3 linked regions of the Oryzias latipes genome follow. The protein of the gene in region 3 purifies or fractionates together with the protein of the main gene of each other region. This does not show direct contact. Links are inferred from orthologs where the notes say so. Each region holds a gene or a part of one and is shown on either strand. Other genes may lie near its edges.

The links. Proteins that work in one complex are often made in the same cells at the same time.
Region 1: the proteins of exocyst complex component 6B (region 3) and exoc8 purify together in Homo sapiens (affinity purification with mass spectrometry; 3 studies listed by BioGRID and IntAct, counting the BioPlex papers as one, with this or other methods). This does not show direct contact. The link is inferred for Oryzias latipes from reciprocal best matches to the Homo sapiens genes EXOC6B and EXOC8.
Region 2: the proteins of exocyst complex component 6B (region 3) and exoc1 purify together in Homo sapiens (affinity purification with mass spectrometry; 3 studies listed by BioGRID and IntAct, counting the BioPlex papers as one, with this or other methods). This does not show direct contact. The link is inferred for Oryzias latipes from reciprocal best matches to the Homo sapiens genes EXOC6B and EXOC1.

Annotation. Positions count from the first base shown.
Region 1 is NC_019882.2:17,523,538-17,531,205, forward strand, and holds the start of exoc8 (exocyst complex component 8), read right to left. Parts: upstream 4,853-7,668; 5' UTR 4,726-4,852; coding exon 3,576-4,725; intron 1,553-3,575; coding exon 1,299-1,552; intron 908-1,298; coding exon 659-907; intron 1-658. Other genes in the region: sprtn (sprT-like domain-containing protein Spartan), read left to right, coding at 5,799-6,118, 6,560-6,659. UniProt on the Homo sapiens protein: Component of the exocyst complex involved in the docking of exocytic vesicles with fusion sites on the plasma membrane.
Region 2 is NC_019862.2:103,233-111,232, forward strand, and holds the start of exoc1 (exocyst complex component 1), read right to left. Parts: upstream 4,853-8,000; 5' UTR 4,619-4,852; intron 3,278-4,618; 5' UTR 3,266-3,277; coding exon 3,142-3,265; intron 3,067-3,141; coding exon 2,936-3,066; intron 2,851-2,935; coding exon 2,691-2,850; intron 342-2,690; coding exon 324-341; intron 1-323.
Region 3 is NC_019876.2:5,439,486-5,446,723, forward strand, and holds part of exocyst complex component 6B, read right to left. Parts: intron 4,921-7,238; coding exon 4,800-4,920; intron 4,722-4,799; coding exon 4,650-4,721; intron 2,522-4,649; coding exon 2,424-2,521; intron 1,737-2,423; coding exon 1,631-1,736; intron 1,469-1,630; coding exon 1,359-1,468; intron 1-1,358. UniProt on the Homo sapiens protein: Component of the exocyst complex involved in the docking of exocytic vesicles with fusion sites on the plasma membrane.

The sequences.
Region 1 (7,668 bases), on a different chromosome or scaffold from region 3:
TCCGAGCAGGACCACTGGAAACACTGGAAAATTCGTACATTTTTCTTTAATAAGTTTTCCCAAATCAGAAACTTTGTTTCATTGAATTTTCAGAGATCTGCAGCCACTTTCAACTTATATCGTACACTACATTTTATGTATGACCCATTAAAATGTCATATAGATAGATTTCCCCTTAACTTGAAGGTTCCCCCAGAATCACAAAACAAATAAAATGGAAATAATGTGAGTTTTTATTTCTGTGGCCAGTACCATGTGATCCAGTACCAGTCTGTATCAGTCAGACCAGCAATATAGACAACTGTGGAGTGAACCAGACTTGAATGCAGTAGTTTCTGCTTTAGCAGGATGCTAAACTCTTATAATCAAAAAACAGAATGAACATTAGAAAGATTTCAATGTGTATAAAATATTTATTTTCAAGGACAATTTATATATAAACTTTCTTTTGACTCTTCTATTCCTCCTGTCTCCATATTCTAACAACCTCATGTCCTCCTTTCACGACATTCATATAGTTCTGCCTCCTGACCATCAGCCCTGACTTTAAAATATTACCTATTGTACCTCTCCAGGTGTGCAAATCTCAATCTCAATATATTTTAACCTGTGTTATTATCAGCCTCGTTTACTGCATAGAAGAGCGACAGAAACATACCATGAGCTTGGCCAAAGCCTCGGGGGTCATCAGGTTCATTCTCCTCCACATCTCCTCGGAGTTGCGGTGCTTGGTGGCCTCGATGATAATGTCCTTTTGACTCTGCAGGGCAGCCCTGATATCTTTGACCAGCAGCGACTGCAGCATGAAGGTCAGGTCCAGGCCGATCTCCGTCAGCTGCTGGCAGTGCTCTTTGGCCACTTTGACACATTCTGCGGCCGTGGAGAGGCTCTCCTTACTGTCAAACACCTGGAAGAAAGGCGGCAACAGATGTGATTAACATGATTAACATTCTCGTTGAAATAAGTAAACACCCACTACAATGAAAATGATGTTTTTTGACATGTTCTTGTAGCATTTTTCTGATGTTGGATGGCATTTATAAAGAAAAAATTAAGAGTAATATATCAAAAGATGATCTAAGTGAAAATTTAAGCTTTGTTTGTGTGATAATTCTTATCAAAGTTAGGTTTGTTTTAAAAAAATCTGAAGTCGTGATGAGGCAGAAGGACAAAACAATAAACCACACTATCATCAGCCAAGAGTTGAACTTGTCTTTTGACATAAAGGCTGTTAAAATAGAAAACAAAAAAGGAGTAGATCAGAAAACGATCAACATTCTTGGTAACATGTTGTCTACCTGTTTGCTGAAAGCGTCAACAAACATCTTCATGGCAGATCTGGACCAGACGACAAAGGCAGAGTAGCAACCCGTGTTCCCAGCAAAGTCCATCTCAAACTCTTTGGCGGTTTCCAGCAAACTGGTGAAGAAGATGTTGCAGAGTTTGTGGATGTAGAGCAACGTTGCTCCCTCGATGCGAAGCTGCCGGATGGCCGTCTGGACTGCCGCGGCTCGGTTTTTCAGAAACAGTTCGCAGGCTTTGGTGGACTGGCCTGTAATAGGCATAAATCGATTCCTATTTTAGTGACTCAAAATCCACTTTTCTTTAGGTTACATCAATAGTTATGTAAAAAAAGTAATAACCATAAAAATCGGGTTTCAATAGACTTGAAAAATAGATATCTACTCAAAATGGAGTCCATGTTTTTGCAGTAATACACACAGGTGGTAAAGCCTTGGACACAACTGCCCTGTGGTAGAAAAATAGGCAAACCTGTGTGGGGCTGTACAGCCAAGTGCTCTTGCACATTTTGTCTTTGGGAATGCTGCAGGCAACAGGTGGTAATGAATACTTATACAACATAAGGGAAAGGAAGGGTGAAGTAGGTGAGACGCAGCCATGTTCTACGTATTTTATAGTTTTCTTTACCCCCCCAAATCCTGCGCACGGTGCTGTTCAAGTGATAAGTGCGCACTCCTTCTGTGTAGCCTGACTGTTATGCTAACTCCACACTGGGCATGCATGGCGCTGAACGCGGGTTCTTGAACGCACTTTCAGCATACGTGCTCATACTGGACTGTCGCTACCCGATAGTAGCGCACAGTTATAAGATGCTTCCTGCGAAATGTTGAAGCGGTGCCAATCTTGCTCCAGGCTTTTTCTTTCACAGCTCTATTTTGATAAAGGAAGGCCTTGGTGTCATAGAATTTTGGCCGGGCACAAACCGCAATTAGTATTTCACCTCCAAGATTCAGTGTTTTGAAAAGGATGCTACTCATACCTCACTACCAAATCAGAGTCCTTGATTGGTCAAAGTACAACTAGTTAAACTTTCAGCACACGTTCGATTGCGTGTTTTGTACGTAGAGCCTGAAAACTGACCTAAAAACCTGCGTAGAGACGCGTCAACGAGAGAGCTTTGAACGCGGAGGCCCAAAACGGGCTTTTACGTGAGCACTTACATAGAATTTTCATTGAAAGTGGTCACTCAAACACGCATTTCCAAGCCTGGTGTTAACGTAGCATTAGAAATTTGATGATAATGGTGTAGTTTGTGTGAGTGTCCTGTCCTACGGACACTTACATGTCAGCATTTGCTTGGAGTCAGTAAGGAACCAGTACTCACTCATTAACCCTTGTGCTGTCTTAGATGACCCCACCCTTACATTGACATGTTCTCCCTACCATGACAAAGGTGGATAAAGGTGGAAAGATTTCATGTAATCCATGGACACCAGTGAAGATCACAAATCATTGAAGAAAAAAGGTTCAGCGAACTGTCTAGTGGGTCTAGATGACCCAACTCCCAATGTTAAAGTGCCTTGGATAGCACAAGGGTTAATAACGACTACAGTGTGGCAGTTTGGGCGGTGTTCGGCAACATCACCCGTATGTTATCAGTGCGTGTAACTTATGTTAGCCTTACAAATACTTCACAATATGCTTACCATACACAATGGTAGGTTCCATTTTCAAGGGAACTGCAAGACACACCTGTGCTCCTGTTAAGATGCGCCTTAAACTGGCCGGTCTACTTTCTACTCCCCTCCACAGACCTGGACAACCCAAAAACCCAGGGCACCTGTACAGGTCAGCCCCCGTACAGGTCCATGTGGCTAAAGCTTTAGTGACTCTGAATTGACCTTTAGGTGTGAATGTGTGAACTTGTTTGTCTCTGTGTGGCCCTGTGATGGAAGGCGAACTGTCCAGGGCGAACCCCGCCTTCACTGAAGAGTTGTTGGTTTAGCTCCAGTGACCCCATTACCCCAAACAGGAGTAAAGCAGGATTACACTGGTTGGTCCCTTAAAATGTTGACCTTCAAAACCTAAAATTAAATTAAAAGAAACTTTTTTTCAACATCACTTCCCCGCCTGACAGATCCAGAAGAGTGGGCTTTGAACACTTTTTTTTTTTTTTGCAAAACAAACGACATTGATGCTCCTAAATAAAAGTTTGAATTAAAAATGTTGCCTTTTTTTTGGCTTTAACGGACTAAAGAAAATGTTTTGGAAGTTAGTCAAACATCATCTCTTCTCTGTTTCTCTGGAAATTAAGAAAAGAACCAAACCAGGACCTAGTCTGATGAGCTGGGACACGGCACGTCGGGTCGCTTTAGGTCCACCACGGAGTGACCGATCCGGAGACAGCTCGAACACCAGCACCTCAGTCAGCTGTCGCACCCGCTCGTCCACCTTGGACCTCAACTCCTTGACCTTCTGAGTGGAGGGCTGGTCCTTCAGGTACTCGTTCAGTTTGTCCAGCAGGTCCACGGCTCCCTCAAAGTCCCTCTGGGCAATGCACACGTCCAGGTCCTCGGGGAGCTCCTGAATCCACTCGATACCAAGTTCTGCGCTTTCCTCTGCATCTGCTGGGTCCTCGTCCTCCAGGTCGAAAGGGTTGGTGGACACCTCAGATCTGATGGGGGACGTGGGAGCCTCCTCTTCCTTCTTGTGTCTGTCCTTAGACACCTTGTTCTTTTTGGTTTCATCAAGGATCTCCAGCCACTCCTTCTTGACCTTGCTGTTCTCTGCCTGGAAGATGCGGCTGTCCGGGAACATGAGGATCTTGAACATGTCCTTCATGGGGGGATTGTCCTTGACGTTGACCACGGCGAAGCTCTCCAGGTCGTACAGGTCGCTGTATTTGTACTTCACGGTGCCTCTGCGGTTGGGCAGCCAGGTGGCGATCAGCAGACAGTCGTTCATGAGGAAAGCATGGACCTTCTGGATGGGGGACATGTTGTCCACGTCAAACTCAAAAAGGTCTCCGTTGTAGACTAGGTGCCTCCCCGGGATGTCCATGATGTTCTTGGCTCCTTCGACTTTCTCCAGCAGAGAGGTGAGCGCCCTCTGCTTCACCTCCTCCGTCTCTTTGGGGAAAGCAGCCTGCATCTCCTTGGAGGTCTCATCCTTGTCTGTGGACAGCAAGGCCTGGGTGATGCTCTCCATGATGCTCTTCTGCTCCGTCAGGATGTGGCTCAGCTGGTACATCTCGCTCTCCAGGTAGGAAATCTCTTTGGCGGTTTCAATGAACTGCCTGTAGTTCTTATAGACATTTTTCTTCAAATTCTGGGCCGTTTCGTCGGCCAGGTTTTGGATTTTTTGCCGATGCTCCTGCAGATCCCTGTCGCCGTCGGACTGCTGTGACAGCTGTTTGACGTACGTTTGCGGATCGAAATTGGGAGATTCGAGAAGTTTCCGCAGCCGGTTCCCTGTTTCCGACATCTTTAGCTGTGTTTGCAATTATTTACGAACGCGAAATATTAGTAAAATGGCTATGAAATGTACGAACAAGACGAGTGCATCGAAGCTCCTTTTACATCCGCTTTCACTCCAACAGGAAGCTGTAAGCAGCAACACCCGAACGTCACGTGATCAGAAAAAGTTTAAAAATAAAATCGTAAAAAAATTATTTGATTATCTTTAGGCATAAGATAATATAAATTTTTGATTATGATTCGTAAACTTTATTCAATTGTAACAATTGAATAATTTAATTTAAATATCAGATATATGTTTACTAAAGTTCCCAGAACCCATCGCTAATATTTGTGCTAGCGATGCTTGCAATCTTTACCGGAAGTGGTAACCAAAGCATACAAAATAATTACATTGAATTATAAAAAAAAGATCACCGTCAAAGCTACCCAAATTAAACTATTGAATTTTTCTTTTTACTATATATATTGATATACTGAGCATAAAAAAGTGCCCATGTTATATATATATCACAGTGTTTTAGTTTAGACAATTAATTTTAAAACATATCATTATAATAGACAAAAATGATTAAGTAACCATATTTGGGACCAAAACGCCTTTAATAACTCATTTTTTTAATTTGAAAAACAATCACGTACGGGACTTCGCGGAACTTGACAGCAGGTTAGACCAAAAGACAGAGTAAAATTGCATTGATGCAAAAACAATTTCCTTAAAAGCTACGCGGCTTTCAATTTCAATTAATAATATACTAAGAAAACACATACGTGCCTACGTTTAGATATTCAAAATACTTTGAACAAAAACTTTAATATGTTTTATTGTGAAAAAAATAAAATAAAACATTACCGGAAGGTTTGTGGAAGATGACAGGAAGTTGTTGGCTCCAGCTTCTTACTCTTTTTTATTAAATTGTTTCCGTTTTTATGTTTAAGCGTCCGTTTTGCGAAAAAATGATGACATAAATTCGTTTTTTTCTTTATGAGTTTACACTGCTAAATGTAGTACAACTGGCGCACTGATTGGTTTTTAGAAGTTCGGGTTAGCCAAAGCTAAATGGCAAAATAGCAGCAGTGATGGACGAGGACTTTCTGCTCGCCGTTCAGCTACAGGAGCAGTTTGACCATGAATATGAATCTTCACTGGTTTCATCTCTAAGTTTTAACGAAGGGGAGTTCGGAAACAACAGCAAAAAGCGGAAAGTGGAGCTTGCCGGTGGGGCCAGGGATAGAAAGCCAACTTCCGGCGTTGAGCGGCCGCTAAGCATCGTGGATGATTCCTGGGAGATGCTGGATCCCAGCCCTGATGTTAGAGCCATGTTTTTGGAGTTCAATGACATGTTCTTCTGGGGCAAACTCAGCGGAGTGGAGGTCAAGTGGAGTCCCAGGATGACCCTGTGAGTCTATTCTGACTTTGGACATTTGGTTTAAGCTGTTTCGGAGCCTAAACTGACCTCACCGATTTAGATCAAAACTAAAACACAATGGATTTTTAATGGAAACGTTGAAACAGGGAAATAAAAGCTTTAGAGAAAGCAAAAAATTTTTTTTTCTCAAATAAAGTGGACAGATTTTGAAGAAAAAGCTCAATAAGTCAAAGTCAGCTTTATTGTCAAGTATGCAGCATACATACAGATTAACAGCACAGATTAAATTACTTTCCTCTCGCCCCACAGTGCAAGCAGCTTATAAAATAATAAAATAAAATAGAATAAATGCAAATAGATACATAAATTTAAGGTTATATTGAAGATTTTGGGTGTAAGTAATGTCATTGGATCAGTGATGGCAATTATGTCTAAAAAAATGCTTCTACTCTCTTTGGTTTCCTCTTGCAGGTGTGCTGGCGTTTGCTCCTATGAAGGTCGAGGTGGACTGTGTTCCATCAGACTCAGTGAACCTCTGCTGAAGCTCAGACCCAGGAAAGACCTAGTGGAGGTGGATGGGATTTTACAATATGTTTTTACTAATAAATCAGTCATTTTTTAAAGATCCAAGTTAGAACAGTGCTTGTCGCAGAGAGCTGCTCCGAAGTTGCCTCTTTAGGGAGGCTTCCTGGCTGAACTGGCCTCTTTTGGTGTGGAGGACCAGCTCTTTTCCTCACTCCATCACCTCGTGGAGGAAACTCGCTGATGTTTTCCAGATCTTTTCCATCCGATCATGACTCATAGCTCATGATCTTTGGTGTAAAATTACCAGTAAACTGAGAGCTTTACCTTTTGGCACAGCTCAGCCAATCCCTGGCTAGAAATTCTGTTAATTAAAACCCTAATCAATGTCCCAGCATGCACTGGGAAGGACTTACTTTCATCAATGGGAACTAAATTCCTAGAAGAATCCTGCAATTGAGCTAAATTATTCAAAACTGTGATAATTCCATATTATTCAGATCCAGATTATTCCCATGAAGTCAACTGGATTGAACTGGAATATAAAAAACCATCAAATCTGTGGCGATGTCCAATTCCACCCGACAAAATGGCGTTCTATCTAGTGCACTAAATACGGAGAAAATTCAGTCACAACTTAAAAACTAGATAATAACTAGATCTGGTCTCCTCACTTCTGTTTAAATCACTGACATATTCACATTCTTTTCAAAACAAAAATCTTAATCTATTTTAGTTACAATGATTTATAAAGTACTGATGTTTATGTGTTACTTCCAACAAGAATAGACAGTATGGTTCTAATTTAGTGATCAAACATCTAAAACAGGTGTTTTTTAATGTAGTTTTGTATTTGAATTCATATTTAGTAAGTCAAGTGGGCAGCGCAATGTTTTTCTTGCTTTGTGTCCAAATGGTTTCTCAGTTCTTAAAGCTCACCTGAACCCAGATGTGAACTTGAAGACCCACTCTGATCATCTTTTGATCTATTCTAAAAATGTTCCCAGTGGTCTTTCAGTTATGATTATACAGTTTTCAAGCAAAATCTAACCTGTGTC
Region 2 (8,000 bases), on a different chromosome or scaffold from region 3:
AAAGGTTTTCCCTTTTTTTTTTCCCTACAGACATCTCGTATCCACCCGTAAGGGCAGTTGTGACTAAGGCTAAAGATATGAGAAACCTGATGATGCATTAATGAACAGATACCTCTAAAGAAATTCTATAAACAAACCTGGAGTTTACAAGTAAAAAATATGTTTTAAGGGCCTAAAAGATGCTTTAGAGTAATCAAAAGCCCCCCCTCCCACATGTAATGAAATGACTGAAATGAGAGGAATCAGGAGGGCATGAGTCTAAATGAAATGGCAGTGACGTCATGAAAATACGACCGAAAGGGAGCAGAATTTGTCCTACCAACCTTCTGCTTTTGGAAGTTCTGGCCAGAGAAAGTTTTAGAGGGAAAAGTGAGAGTAAAGAAGAATTTAAAACAGAAAAAAATACCACAAACCATGATACAAAAAAGAAAAATGTTCTTCAAACATCTTGAAAATAAACAAAGTAATACAATCATAAATAAAAGATCATCAAGATATGAAACAGAAACATTGATGTGAGCGTGAGATTTTGAAAACATTCCAATGAACCAAGACCCTGTGTTTTATACACCGACCAAAAATATAAACGCAACACTTTGTTATTGCTCCCATTTTTTATGGTATGAACTCAAAGATGTGAAACATTTTCCACATACACAAAATAACCAGTTCTCTGAAATATTGGTCACAAATCTGTCTAAATCTGTGATAGTGAGCACTTCTCCTTTGCCAAGACAATCCATCCCACCTCACAGGTGTGCCATATCAAGATGCTGATTAGACAGCATGATTATTGCACAGGTGTGCCTTAGACTGGCCACAAGAAAAGGCCACTCTGAAATCTTCAGTTTTGTTTTATTGAGGGGGTCAGGGGACTCAGACAACCAGTCAGTATCTGGTGTGACCACCATTTGCCTCATGAAGTGCGACACATCTCCTTCGTATAGAGTTGATCAGGTTGTCTATTGTGGCCTGTGGAATGTTGGTCCACTCTTCTTCAATGGCTGTGCGAAGTTGCTGGATATTGGCAGGAACTGGAACACGCTGTCGTATACGCCGATCCAGAGCACCCCAAACATGCTCAATGGGTGACATGTCCGGTGAGTATGCTGGCGATGCAAGAACTGGGATGTTTTCAGCTTCCAAGAATTGTGTACAGATCCTTGCAACATTATCATGATGCAACATGAGGTGATGTTGTTGGATGTACGGCACAACAATGGGCCCCAGGATCTCGTCACAGTTTCTCTGTGCACTCAAAATGCCATCAATGAAATGCACCTGTGTTCTTCGCCCATACCATAACCCCACCACCACCATGGGCTACTCGATCCACAACATTGACATCAGAAAACCGCTCACCCACACGACGCCACACACGCTGTCTGCCCTGAACAGTGTAAACCGGGATTCATCCGTGAAGAGAACACCTCTCCAACGTGCCAGACGCCATCGCATGTGAGCATTTGCCCACTCAAGTCGGTTACGACAACGAACTGGAGTGAGGTCGAGACCTCGATGAGGACGACGAGCATGCAGATGAGCTTCCCTGAGACGGTTTCTGACAGTTTGTGCAGAAATTCTGTGGTTACGCAAAGCGATTGTTTCAGCAGCTGTCCGAGTGGCTGGTCTCAGACGATCTTGGAGGTGGACATGCTGGATGTGGAGGTCTTGGGCTGGTGTGGTTACACGTGGTCTGCGGTTGTGAGGTCGGTTGGATGTGCTGCCAAATTCTCGGAAACGCCTTTGGAGACGGCTTATGGTGGAGAAATGGACATTCAATTCCCTAGCAACAGCTCTGGTGGACATTCCTGCTATCAGCATGCCAATTGCACGCTCCCTCAAAACTTGGACATCTGTGGCATTGTGCTGTGTGTACAACTGAAGATTTCAGAGTGGCCTTTTCTTGTGGCCAGTCTAAGGCACACCTGTGCAATAATTATACTGTCTAATCAGCATCTTGATATGGCACACCTGTGAGGTGGGATGGATTGTCTTGGCAAAGGAGAAGTGCTCACTATCACAGATTTCGACAGATTTGAGACCAATATTTCAGAGAACTGGTTATTTTGTGTGTGTGGAAAATGTTTCACATCTTTGAGTTGATACCATAAAAAACGGGAGCAATAACAAAAGTGTTGCGTTTATATTTTTGGTCAGTGTAATTTACCAATATCAATTGTATTGGGGAAAGAAGAGGAGCAATGACATCAAACATTGTTCCAACTTATAGTCTACCTTCATCAAAAAGCAGTAAACAAGATTAAGCTTAATAAGAGTAAAGATGAACTGTCAACATGAAGCAACCATCTTAAATAATCTTAATGACTAAAACTGTGTCAGAGGTGATCATAGCTGTAGTTACACGCTCCTCCTCACTATGCAAATAGTTTAGCTGCTGGAATATTTCACTTATGAGTTTGGTCTTGGTAAAATCAAACTGGGCTGGATTTGCTCTAGTAGTTTGAAGCATTAACTGCTCTAAAGTCTGGTGTTCTGGATGCTAATCTCAAGAAAGAGAAACTGGTCTTTTTTTTACCTAACTTTATAAAATCTACTCATTGTTTGAGTATTTATGTTTACTTCTAAGACCAAAAAACATTTTCATATGAAAAAAGCTACATATAACTTAAAGGTCACAAAATATGAAGAAGACATATGGGAGGATCGAGGACAGAGGATTCACGCACCTTCCAGCAGCTGAGAACTGACATTCACAAACTCCACCTTCTTCCTTAGATAACGCTGATTCAGTTTCCAAATGCAGGATATAAAGCAGTTTTTCTCAGCTGTACTACTAGCCAACCACCGATAGATCTTCTCAAAATGCAGGTCAAATTCAGGGTTTTCCTAAAGCAGAGGAGCAAGACAGTCAGCACTGCTACAGATTATAGAAACACAGAGCATTAATGGAATTTAAATGTTAGACTCTCACCTTGCTTGCATCTTTGGCATCTACTACTGTCAGATCTCTAAGCTCCCAAGTTTGCTGTCTCTTGTAAAAGTCACCTTTGTCAGATTTTTTTACCTTTACTACTTTGACCTGAACAGGTCTCTCTATGGTAACTAGAAAAAAAATATGAAGCATTAGACTCCATAAAGAAATTCTGCCAATCCTATTTGTGGTGGTCATACACTCACCTGTGGCACACAAGAAACAGTTCTTCTTTTTCTTTCCAGCCTTGCAGACATTAACAATACCAAGGAGGCGCTCATCATTTGGAGTGAAGATGTCCCTCTGGAGAGCGTGTTTGATGGCTGTCATGGTGGGTGGACACTGTTGTACAAAACAGATGCAGATTCATGTCAGCATCAGGGATTCATATCAATAATATAGTCTCATCGGCTTTTCTTTTTACTTCAGTTAGCATCCACAACAGATGTATAACAATAAAAAAATCACTTATTACCACAGACTGAAACATTTCTTATCACATTATTTTAACAAATCAAACTGGGATAAGGCCATTTGCAGATGCACCATAATGTACATGTTTATTTGTTCAGAAACCCAACTGGTTTAGAAAGAACATTGATCAAGTTTGAATTTTGAAATAGCATGTTTGTGACAGGAGTGGAGCTCTAAAACTATTGATGGCATATTGAAAGGTGTTTTTTGCAGAGATTTTACACCTGATGACCTTCCTGAACATCTTTGTATTTTATCTGGTCTAGGGACCAGCACAGGAGGACACAGAAGTGGCCCCCCCAACTCCATTTGTTTATAATAAATGTAGATTTATTTTCCTCTTAAAAATAACAACACGAAAATAATCCAGGAAATTATAAACTTGTGAATCTACTAATTAAATGTCTAGGCAGCAATGCCCATTATGACTATTAATGTACACCAAATAATTGTCTGCATTATGAGACAAAAGTTCATTAAGCATTCACTTCTAATCTACAATACGTACCCAAACATCAGAATCTGAGGCATTTATTGTCATTATAACAGCAAAAGTACAGTACAACTAAATTACTGTTTTTGTAATCGGGAGATAGGGGGAAGACAAATTACATAAGATAAGGGGATCACCAATAGCAATGATAATAATAATAATAATAATAATAATAATAATAATAATAATACTTCTAATACTCTTGAGGGGGCAGAATAGGGGTGTAGAAAAAGGACATGATCATGTTAAAAAAAAAGTATGAAAACCCACCAGCAAAACAATGAATGTCAAAATGTTAATGCTTATGCTGCATTTATAAAAAATGCTCAAGTTCATCAATCGAAACGTAATTAAATTAAACATGTCAAAACGTACATCACTGTGTAAATAGGATTTATTTGTTTTTAACTAACCAATAAATAACATATTTCTTTCCGTTCAAAGAAGAGTTGACGTGTGGAAGGAAGGAAGGATATTTAGGGCCACAAAAAAAACGGAACAGTTCCTGATTTATTGTTACTGTACATCAGGGTTAGCTTAGCGACTGCTAACGAGCTTGCTAACAGAACATGCTAACGGTTGTAGCCTCTTTTTTTGCTAGTTATTAAACGAGATTAAAATTTTGCAACGACAGTGTAATTTGCACAAATGATTTGTTCCGTCGATTAAGTTAACATGTGAAAAAAAAATTTAAGTTAAAGAATTTCACCCAATACCTTATTTTCATCAGCCCTTCAAAACTCTGCACAAACACAAACACTTCCTGGCTTTAAGGAGGAAGTGTCATGTGACACCGCCTATGACTAATTAAAGCGACAGGAAACTCCACCTGGCAAACCGAATCTGTTTACCATAAAATATCGCAATAGCTTTGTTAGAATTCCCACCCTAACCCTTTACTACTAAAAAAACGATATATAGTGCGGGACAATGTAGTGTTCTGGATTTTAAAAGCAATTCGGAAAACGTGCACGCTACTTTTTACGGCGATTATGACGTCATCGATTTCACGAAGTGGAAAATCTTAATTGAAATGGACGAGTATCTTTTTTTCCCCAACTGTCATTTATGATTTCATGTGTTCAGGATTGTAAGTATCCAGCGTCAGGACAGGGGGTTGGTGGGAAGCCCACTTGTGCTACTAGGCCCTGGTTTGATCTCAGGGATTAGGTTAGGACAGAGACCTTCCCCTAGTCCTTTTTCTCCTAATTTCTTCTATCCGTGAGGAAGGTCCAGGGACAAGTACAGCAATGGGTACAAGAGAGGAGCTTGAAGAAACTAAGGAAAGAAAGAGTTAGCCACCTGCTGGAAGAAAAGAAGAAAGAATAGTGATGAACTTCTAGCTCTAGGAGGACATGAGGCTGCAGAAGAGCTGAGAGCACAAGAGAGGAGGGAGACTTTTGACAGACTTTTCAATCTCTTGGGAAAAAATGGTCAACAAAGAAATAACCTATCAATGCTTTCTGAGAAAAAGTAAATTAATCAATTATGTTCATATTTGATATTTTAAAATCATGTGAGTTTTTTTCATGCAAATAAAGAAATAAATCCAAAACGGCAGTTCTCATGAATTCATTGTAACACTTTTATTTACAACTATTTACAAAGTTGATCGACATAGATGGGGGGCTGCAACTGAGACCCAGGGCTGGAACTTTGTGGTTGGTGATTGGAACTTCTTGCAGGGTGGTCTGCTGAGAGAGTTTCAGGATGCAGCTTCACTGTACATCAACAGAGTTTGCAGAGCTTGCTGCCGATTCTGAATTATGAGACTGTTCTGACCTCATAGCCGATGGATGCTGCATGACCAAAGATTATCCATAGGTTGATTCTGCAGTACAGAGGTCTGGTCTGGTTAAAGAGAAATACACAAGAAATCCTTTTTTAGTTTAACCCTTGTGCTATCCTAGGCGCTTTAACATTGGGAGTTGGGTCATCTAGACCAGTGTTTTTCAACCAGTGTGCCGCGGCACACTAGTGTGCCGTGGGAAATTGCCCTTATTAACTGATCTAAAAACATTTTCCATCTCCAGGATATCAGCTCTGTGTTCATCCAAACAGGCCCTGATAAAACACTGAGTAGTTAGGAATATGAAAGATCATAAAATACTTTTTTCTTTGTGTTTATTTGATTCTATTAAAGACACTTTGATCAGAATGACGGTACCGCGATTTAGCCACAGCTTCAGCTCTATTTTTGGAAAAGTCCCGCCCCTTTAACTGTCTCCACCAATCATTCTTGGATTCTTAATCACATGTCATCAGTCTGACCAATCAGAAGTGGTTAAAGTCTTCACTTCCTTGTTTCAATTCTGTTCATTAAGTCTCTCAGTTCTAACAAAAATACCAGCTAAAGCTCGTCTTTACTGGTGTAGCTTTCCACAGAATCCGGTTTCAGAATGTGGAAAAAGTAAACAAAATAATGAAGCTCAGAGACGCTGGTCTTTCAGCATTCGGTGGAATTTTGCACTACATCTCCCATGATGCATCAGGTTAAAGGGACAGCGTCTCGGCGCACAATGAGTCTCTCCTCTTAACGTCTTGAAACCACAACGAACACAAATAAACAGTTTTTAAATCTTCTAACTTAACTTTTATTACATCTATTAGGAAAAACAGCTGCAGCTTCCAACTTTTTCTGCCACAATTATCACGAAAATGCTCGTGAGATCATGGAGGGACTGTAGATCAATACAGACTATGAGTTTCTCTTTTTTGTTTGTTTTTTTGATGCTGATGTGCCGCAGGATTTTTGTCAAGGTTAAAGTGTGCCTTGGCTCAAAAAAGGTTGAAACACACTGATCTAGACCCACTACACAGTGCTTGGAACCTTTTTTCTTCAATGATTTGTGATCTTCACTGGTGTCCATGGATTACATGAAATCTTTCCACCTTTATCCACCTTTGTCATGGTAGGGAGAACACGTCAATGGAAGGGTGGGGTCATAGGATAGCACAAGGGTTAAAGATGTTGTTTTCAGTTTTTATGAGGCTTAAAAACACGATTATACTCCGGGGGATATGATAGTAACAAAATACTTAAATACAAATATTACTGAATTCAAATAAGAGTAGGGTAAAAAAAATATTTCTGCAATTAAAGAAGTCACATGAAAAAATTAACATTTAACTCTATTGTAGTCTAAGTAATAAAATAATTTAAAAATAGTTTATAGTTATTACTTAATAATTTTTTACATTCTCAAAAGAGGATAGTTAAATTCTTATAACTTGTGAGAAGTAAACAAACTCTGGGTACTCTACAAACTCACAAATTTACTGCAGTAATTGTAAATTTTACAACCTGAAATGAAGTGATACAATATATCCATAAAACTAGCTAACGCTAAAATGTAATTCCTAAAAGCTTCAGCTTATGGAGTTCCTCTTTTCCTTTTTGAGAGATTGTATACAGTACCTGTTATCTCTCAGCCAGAAATACATGTGCTTTCAACCAGGATACAAATGATTCAACTCCTCCAAGATTAAAAGTTGGATCAAATAATCCAGGAAAATTTCTAGCTCCATGCATGGTTCACCACTTTTCTCTGACTCATGCGACACGTTACTAGAGGACAGTTTTGTGTTGGAGTTTGCAAACTCATTTATCTAAGTTCTTCTAACTCAGTTGGAAGTTGTATTAACTTAAAAGTTCAAGTTGGATCAACTTTGAATCGTAATTTTGACCAACTCAGATGTAAGTAACAGTGACCTAAAATGTCACGTAATCCTAACTGTGAATCTTAACCATTCCCAACTCAGGCATAAGATGTAAAGACTTAATTTTTTAAGTTGAAATAATCATAAATTCCAATTATTAGTAACTTAACAAAAGGTTGAAGTAACAAAAAATTTGTAATAATGTGAACTTCTAACTTTAATTTTAAATTCAATTGAAAATTACACATATGTTACTATATGTCCATTATAATTATAATTTCATGTCTCCACATGTGGAGCCAAATATTAACAAGATCATTAAGACACGAGTAAACAGTCACAGTTTACCCACACATGTGTTCGGAATGGCAAATCATTTGCTTTGACCTTATTCTGTAACTGCAACAACATGACCTCCACCTCTGTTCACATCTCCCT
Region 3 (7,238 bases):
TGTCTGGGACCATCACATTGTGATAGTCCATAGCAACCATTTCATTTTTGTCATATCTGAGGTTGATGAACACGTGTGGAGGTTTTCCCATATCTGTGTCAAAGTAAAGCCTCCAGTTTTTCTAAGCAGCTGATGCTTACATTAAAAAAAAAGAGGCCGTTGTTACTATGACGACGTTCAACTGGAGCCATGATACCTTTATGTGGGAGGTACCATTGATCCATGACCGGAGGAAGAAATAAGATAAATGAGGGTTTCATGTCCAACCCAATAACCACCAACTCATGACGGTGGCAATTCGGTGAAGCCAGCTTTAAAAAGGTAGAGGGCCGCAACTAAAGATGAAGCTGACTGATGTCAGCAGAATTTATTTACAAGAAGAGGTTTGAGAACTCTTGAAGATTTAAAAAAATATGTATGTCCTCAGTGGTGATTTTGACTTGAGATGACATCATCAAAGCAATCATATTTCTGGTGAAGCCCTTCGTTTTCTTTTATCCTGCATATCTTTTTATTAAGTCAACTAAAAAAAAAATAATTCTTTTATTTATTAAAAATGGGTCTAAGTAATTAAAGAAAAACCTTAATTTGAAAAGAAAAACATAAAAATTCACACAAAACACATGTAGGTATAAAAAAAATGTCTTTGGAGACAAAAGAAAAGGGTTTGATGCGAACACCCATTAGGGGGTTTATACAGAATGATGCACATTCAGCAGCTGGACGGCTTAGTTGGTTGTGTGTAGGACTGCTTTACGCTATGCAGCCACAAGGGGGCCAAAGTCTGGGCTTCCCTGTGGCTGTCCCCAGCCTGGATATAATAGTGTTGGGTCAGGAAGGGCATCCAGTCCAAAAATCTTTGCCAATCCACCTGTGCAAATTAGTGAAAGCTGATGTGACGACGAATGCACATTTGTCATAAACCAATAAGAGTCAAGAACCAAAAGAAAAGGAGCGTTTTAAACAAAATACTTCTGTTAGTGTCCATTTTGGTGAGAAAACCTTTTCAAGTTGTCAATATTTATGTAAATTATTAGTTGAACTGAATTGATGTGAAAAGGCCCAAATATTTTTGATTTTTGAACAATTTAGTCTAGACACTTTAATATTTAGGGGAAACTAACCAAAACCATTAATCCAAATTCAAAAATGGTGTTGGATCTAACCCATCTCTTGTGGTGGGGCTATCATAGTCGGGTCACGATCCGACCGTGTGATGAGAATAAGAGAAGCTTTCGGTTTTAATGAAGAAGCCAGCTGATCGGGCTAGGTTTAAACTCCACCGTGTGTTGAGGTTTGTTTAAACCTGTCAGCGGCATCATGGGTAAAAACAAACCACCTACGGCTTTGACGAGTACCTGAGATGCAGATCCTCAGAGTACTTCAGGCAGGCATAGATGAACTCCTTCAGCTGAGAGTAGACTTTTGGCACAAACTCGGAGAAGGGAAGCTTTTTAGGGAAGGGAAGCTGGCGAACACAGAAGATAAAACACAGAGTTCCATAAGGTTTTGCCAAATATTTCACTTTATCAGCATCTCTAACCTTTATCATTCACTAAAATGAAAGGATGTGAAATGTTTAAAAATAGCAAAAAGTTGTATTTTTATAACTCTGATGTTTCGTTTTCACCTTTTCCAGTTCAGGATCTTGCATGGGAAACAGGGAAGTGTAGTGGCGGTACTCCTCCTCTGTAGAGACTGGAATTGGACTGTAGTTGTCCTGATCCAACACCTGCCTGAAGACGGCAGATCACAGGTGAATCACTTCCTCCGTTCGTGGAAGACGTCAACGGGAGAAAGCTAAAAACAAACGTTTCCTCAGCTCCACCTCTCTCTTTCTGAAACACAAACATTAACCTCCAACCGTCCCATTGGGGGTCGTTCCAACGCTTCGGGTTTTCTTACCACCCTGCCTCCTTTCAACAACCCCCACGTCTGTTTGGCGCTCCGCAGATCGGACGTTCCAGCGTTCCATGGAGAGGAGGTGAACCGGAGAGGGATCGCTCCCCAACAATACATCACAACATTCCTGTGGCTTCCCGAGTGTGTGTGTGTGTGTGTGTTAACTCCAATAAGAAAAAGAGGAGGAAAGAGGGAGTGTGTGTTTGTTTGTCCGTTCTCACTGCCCCGCGTCCCTCTGGTATCATTGAACAGAGGCGAACAATGGCCTGTTGAGCCCAAACGCACACACAAAGCGTCTGAGGGTGCTGCCCATTCCGAAGGGTAAAGAATGTTCCGGACGTCGTTTGAAAACGTTTCCTCTCTTGATGCTCATAAAACTTCAAAACCACATTTCTCACATTCTGGTGTGACGAGAGTGTGCTGTGGTCGTGCAAACACTGCGTGACCTCCTGACCAAAGGCAGGTTTCCCGCATGACAACCCGAGCCGCTAAAACGGACGGCGGCCCGGATCGGTCGGTACCTGAAGGTGATGTTCCACCTCTTGAGCAGGATCTCTCCATACTGCTCCCTCATCTCCAGCAGCATGTCAAACAGCTGGGACACCGGGAATCCGTAACCCTGCAAATGCAGATCAAACACACGGGCTGAAGTTCACTTCCCAGAAGACGCCCGTCCAGTCCCAGTCAGGAGGGAAATACCAAACTTTTCAAAGTTGACCCTTAAACACTGGAGATTTCGCCGGTGGCGCCTAAATAATGCACGCTTTTTTTACTTTTCAACCGTTTACACAACTCCAATGCATCGGACGGAAAGTGTTTTGTATCGGCGCAAATCTACTTTTCTCAGCTCCTGAATCCATCAAAATTACGTTGGTTGCGTAAACGGTTGAGTTTTAGATCAGTTTTTATAAAACACCAACAAGAGGGACATTTTATTTTAGGCATTGAACAAGAAAGCAGATTTAAAATAAACATCCATAAGAAAAAATAAAAAAATTAAAAGACATGATTCCCACTGGATCATTCAACAACTGTGTTTTAGAAGTGTTCGATAGTTTTGGCGCCTGTGGAGCAGCGGTAGGGCGGTAGACCCATGATCGTAAGATTGCAGGTTCGATTCCCGCCTTGCACGCCCATGAGTGGAAGTGTCCTTGGGCAAGACATTGAACCCCACCTTGCCTCTGGTGGAAGGTTGGCGCCAGTGTTCTGCAGCGGAGCCGCCACCAGTGTGTGAATGTGTGTGTGACTGGGTGAATGGGACTGTGACTGTAAAGCGCTTTGGGTCTTCGAAAGAAGGTAGAAAGCGCTATATAAGTATACGCCATTTACCATTTAGCCCACGTTTATCAATAAATAATCAGCGACAACAAATTCTGCAAAGTAATTCCCCTACTTCTGATGATTTGTAGTTAATAATTACAGATGTACATGAATTGTATTTATTTTCTCAGATGGAGAACAACCATCTGGTTATGAAAAAACAATGAAAACAATTAAATGGACTGAGCAGTACAGTCCAGTCTGGTACGTTGAGCGTTTCTTTTATAAAACTGACATTAAGCCGGACCGAACAATCCCATCTTTGGGCCCCTCTTGGTTGTAGGTCCATAGAAAAATTGAACGGAATAGTTAGAGCAGAGCTACTCTTGAAACCCATTGATTGGCTGATAGTCATATCGACAAGCGAAAGCTCCAACAAAGCAGCTGTATTCCTCTTCGCTGACCGGAATCTTCTCTCAGACAACATTAAACGCTTTGTTTATATGAAGTACCAAAAGTCAAATGGAAAAAAAATGAGCTACTGGACGACCTCCATTGTTGTTGTTTTTGTCAGCGTCACCCCACAGGCACCGCGGCGATCCAACCTTAAGTGGAAACGCTTACTTGAGTTGCCTGGACCATTCTAAACCGGACCGTATCGGACCTGACCGTACCGCTCAGTGGAAATGAGACACAGATCTACCATCCTGTACGTTTTCCAGCAACCTCTACCCCTGTTAATTAGCTGGATTAAAAGGGCTCAGTTATTCAAAACCTAATTAAAAGAAAAGCTGGAAAACCAGCAGTAAAGGAACAATAGAAGGGTATCCAATCAACTAATTCTAACAGTATGTAAAATTAACAAACAAACCCTATTAATTATCTATTCATTTGACTTGGCTTCATGTCTTTGTTTCTCAGCAACAGTAACCAGTTCCGAAATTCAAAACCTTCATCTGATTTATGAAGCAATAAATGTTGGGCATCCCGTGTCTGAAACCCGATTTGAAAGTTTGGTTCAAAAAGGAAAAAGTCTGTCGAAAGAACGGAAAAACGCCATTCAATAGCAGCTCATCACTCCACGTGGAAGACTTGCGGCGTCGGACCTCCCAAGCACAACCTCCATGTCTTCCATAAGTCTTATTCGTGTCCCCCCCCATCCGGTCAGCACATCCCCTCCATCTCTCCTCCATTCCTTCCTCATCCATCACACTCCATCCATTCAGGTTTGTTCATTTGTGCAGCACGGGATAAACACAGTCAGATCAGTTGAGGAACTCCCATCTTTAAAACGGTTCAGAAAGAAGCCCTTTCTTTGGAGACTTGCAGCCATCCACTTAAAAAAAACCAACTAAACTTCCTTTTAAGAAGATTCATGGCCACCTGGGGGTCACAAAGGACAGCTGAACTTAAAAACACCACAGCTTTGGGAGATTAGCGAGATATTGGGGGACGGAGAGGCTCTCGGTCGTAAATCACACACGTACCTGCAGCGTATCGGCAAACAGCACCATGAGGTTCTTCAGATCCAGCACCAGGTTAGGGTCATCACAGTACGACTAAACAAGCAGAGCAGAGAGTCAGGATGTTATGGGAACGTGGCTGTTCGTCTTTCCTAAATGTGTCATTCATCATACAGAGTGCGTCCTCAGGGCAGCAACAATCTTGGAGAGTGCCAGCTCCCAAAGCTCCTCCACATAGGCTCTGTTGACCAAACCCCGGGTGGTGTGAAGGACGTGATCCTCCACAACGAAGAAGCTGAAGGAGGAAGAGGAACACTAGGAGGTTAAGAACAGTAAAAGAAACTATGTTTAGATCTGCAAATGCAGTTTTGTTGACCTAAAATGAACTTGTTTTCTGAGGGACGGGCCCATTGACGCTAAGAGATGAGCAACTGGTGAAATAGATTATTTTATGGTCATGCCACCACCAAAAACTGGCAAATTGGTGGGAAGAATGAGTCTTTTACTTCCTGGTAAACATCCAGTAAGGGTAATCTAGAGCTGAAGATTCAATCGTCACCTGACAGTCTTATTATTTAAATATATCCATGACTTATATGGATATATGAGTTATATGTATTATCATACATAAAGAAAAATAAGTTCCATACATTAGTACCATGAAACCTAACCCAAGATGGTAAATATGTCTTGTTTGATAAGTTAAATCATTTTACAAAGAATTTAATAGAGAAAATGGAGAAAAGGTTTAATGGCTGCTACTTTAGCTGGACGTGGGAGGGGCCGAGTCACAGGCTGCAATCTGTTAGCTGAAAAGCCGTAAAAATAAATGAATAAATATTAAAAAAACGTGATACAAACTGGATTATTCAGCAACTGTGTTTTAGAAGTATTCAAAAGCTGTCCCGGTTATTGAAGGAGCTTTAAAAATAACCCGTGACAGAAAAAAATCTGCGACGTAGTCACTACTTTTGATGTCTTGCAGCTAATAATTGTAGATGTTCTAAGGCTTTAAAACCTCTCACTACAAACTTTATACACTTTTTTCAGACATACATGAACATTTTTATAGTTTTTTTTCTCTCATTTAAATCAAAGTTGAAAAAATAATTCCAGTATGACCGCGATCAAAGATGTATGAAGATCTGGCAAACTGAACGCATTCGGTAAAGGAGACACAACAGGGCGGAGATTGATTGCCAAATCTATGGCTAAAAAGGACGCAGAACGCAATGTGCTTTGAACCAAAAGAAAAAAAAAAGGCATGCAAAACAGTACAAAAGAAATCTGCGAAACAGCGAGTCAGCGAAAGGTAAGAAACTATACTGCTGAAAACATCCTGGTGACTAGCAGGGCCTAAGAGAAGGATAACGGCTGAAATACTCAAAAATAAAAGCGGATATTAGCTAATTGTGCAACAATAGTAAGAAAAATATTTAGTGGCATCCTTTGTAAAATTCAATAAATGGCAATTCCTGACCATGTAAAAACTTGTAGTTCCTTTGATGATCAAAAAGCAACTCCTTGGTTAACACAAAAAAAAAAAAATCAGGCAAATTAAAGATGTTCTAAATTTCATTGCTTAGATCATTTTGTGTGGCTACAATAAATGTTTTCACCACTAACTGCTATTGTGAAATTGTTGTGCAGACTTTTACAAGCCAAGTGTGCATACTCTATTAAGGCCTTCCACTGTTTTTTGGTTGCTTAAATTCAAATTTGTGCTTTAACTGATCCCTAGAGTAGTTCACACAGAAAACCTTAATCTGTTTTCACAAGTCTTTCATTAAAGACCCACCATGGTAAAAGTGGTGTTTTATCATGTTCTTGTGACACTTTTCAGAGGACATATATCAAAAGTTGAGCTAAAAAAAAAGTTGCTTGAAAAATATATTTGCTATGCAGAAAATGCACAGGAAAGGCCACAAGTTCCCTGATAGCAGCAAAGGGGGGCCAATTTCTGATAAACCACGGCTGATCTGCAGAAAACTAGCATATTTTTCAGACTATAAGTCACTCAGGAGAATAAGTCACTGCAGCCAAAAAACGCATAATAAAGAAAAAAGAATCACATACAAGTTGCATTTTGGGTAGATTTACTTAACTATATGGAAATGTGTAAATTGGAAAATCATAACAAAGGAACAGATAATATTTGGCCAAATCCAATTGGCGTCCCTTCCCTTCCCCTTTGGCTCCTCCCTACTGTTCCAATTGTACAAGTTTATATCTAACCCTTGTGCTGTCTTGTTGGGTCAAGATGACCCCACCCTTCCATTGACGTGTTCTTCCTACCATGACAAAGGTGGATAAAGGTGGAAAGATTTCATGTAATCCGTGGACACCAGTGAAGATCACAAATCATTGAAGAAAAAAGGTTCAGAGCACTGTCTAGTGGGTCTAGATGACCCAACTCCTAACATTAACGTGCCTAGGATAGCACAAGGGATACATGCTAGTATTGAGTATTAACTTTTTTTTTTTTACTTTTTAAAGTTATAAAGCCGATGTGTATTTTCTGGGCGCTGGCAGCTACCCAATAACGTAGGTAACTGGTGACGATTGATGACATCATCGAGCAGTAGTAACGTCCAGATTTAAAGACACTATTTT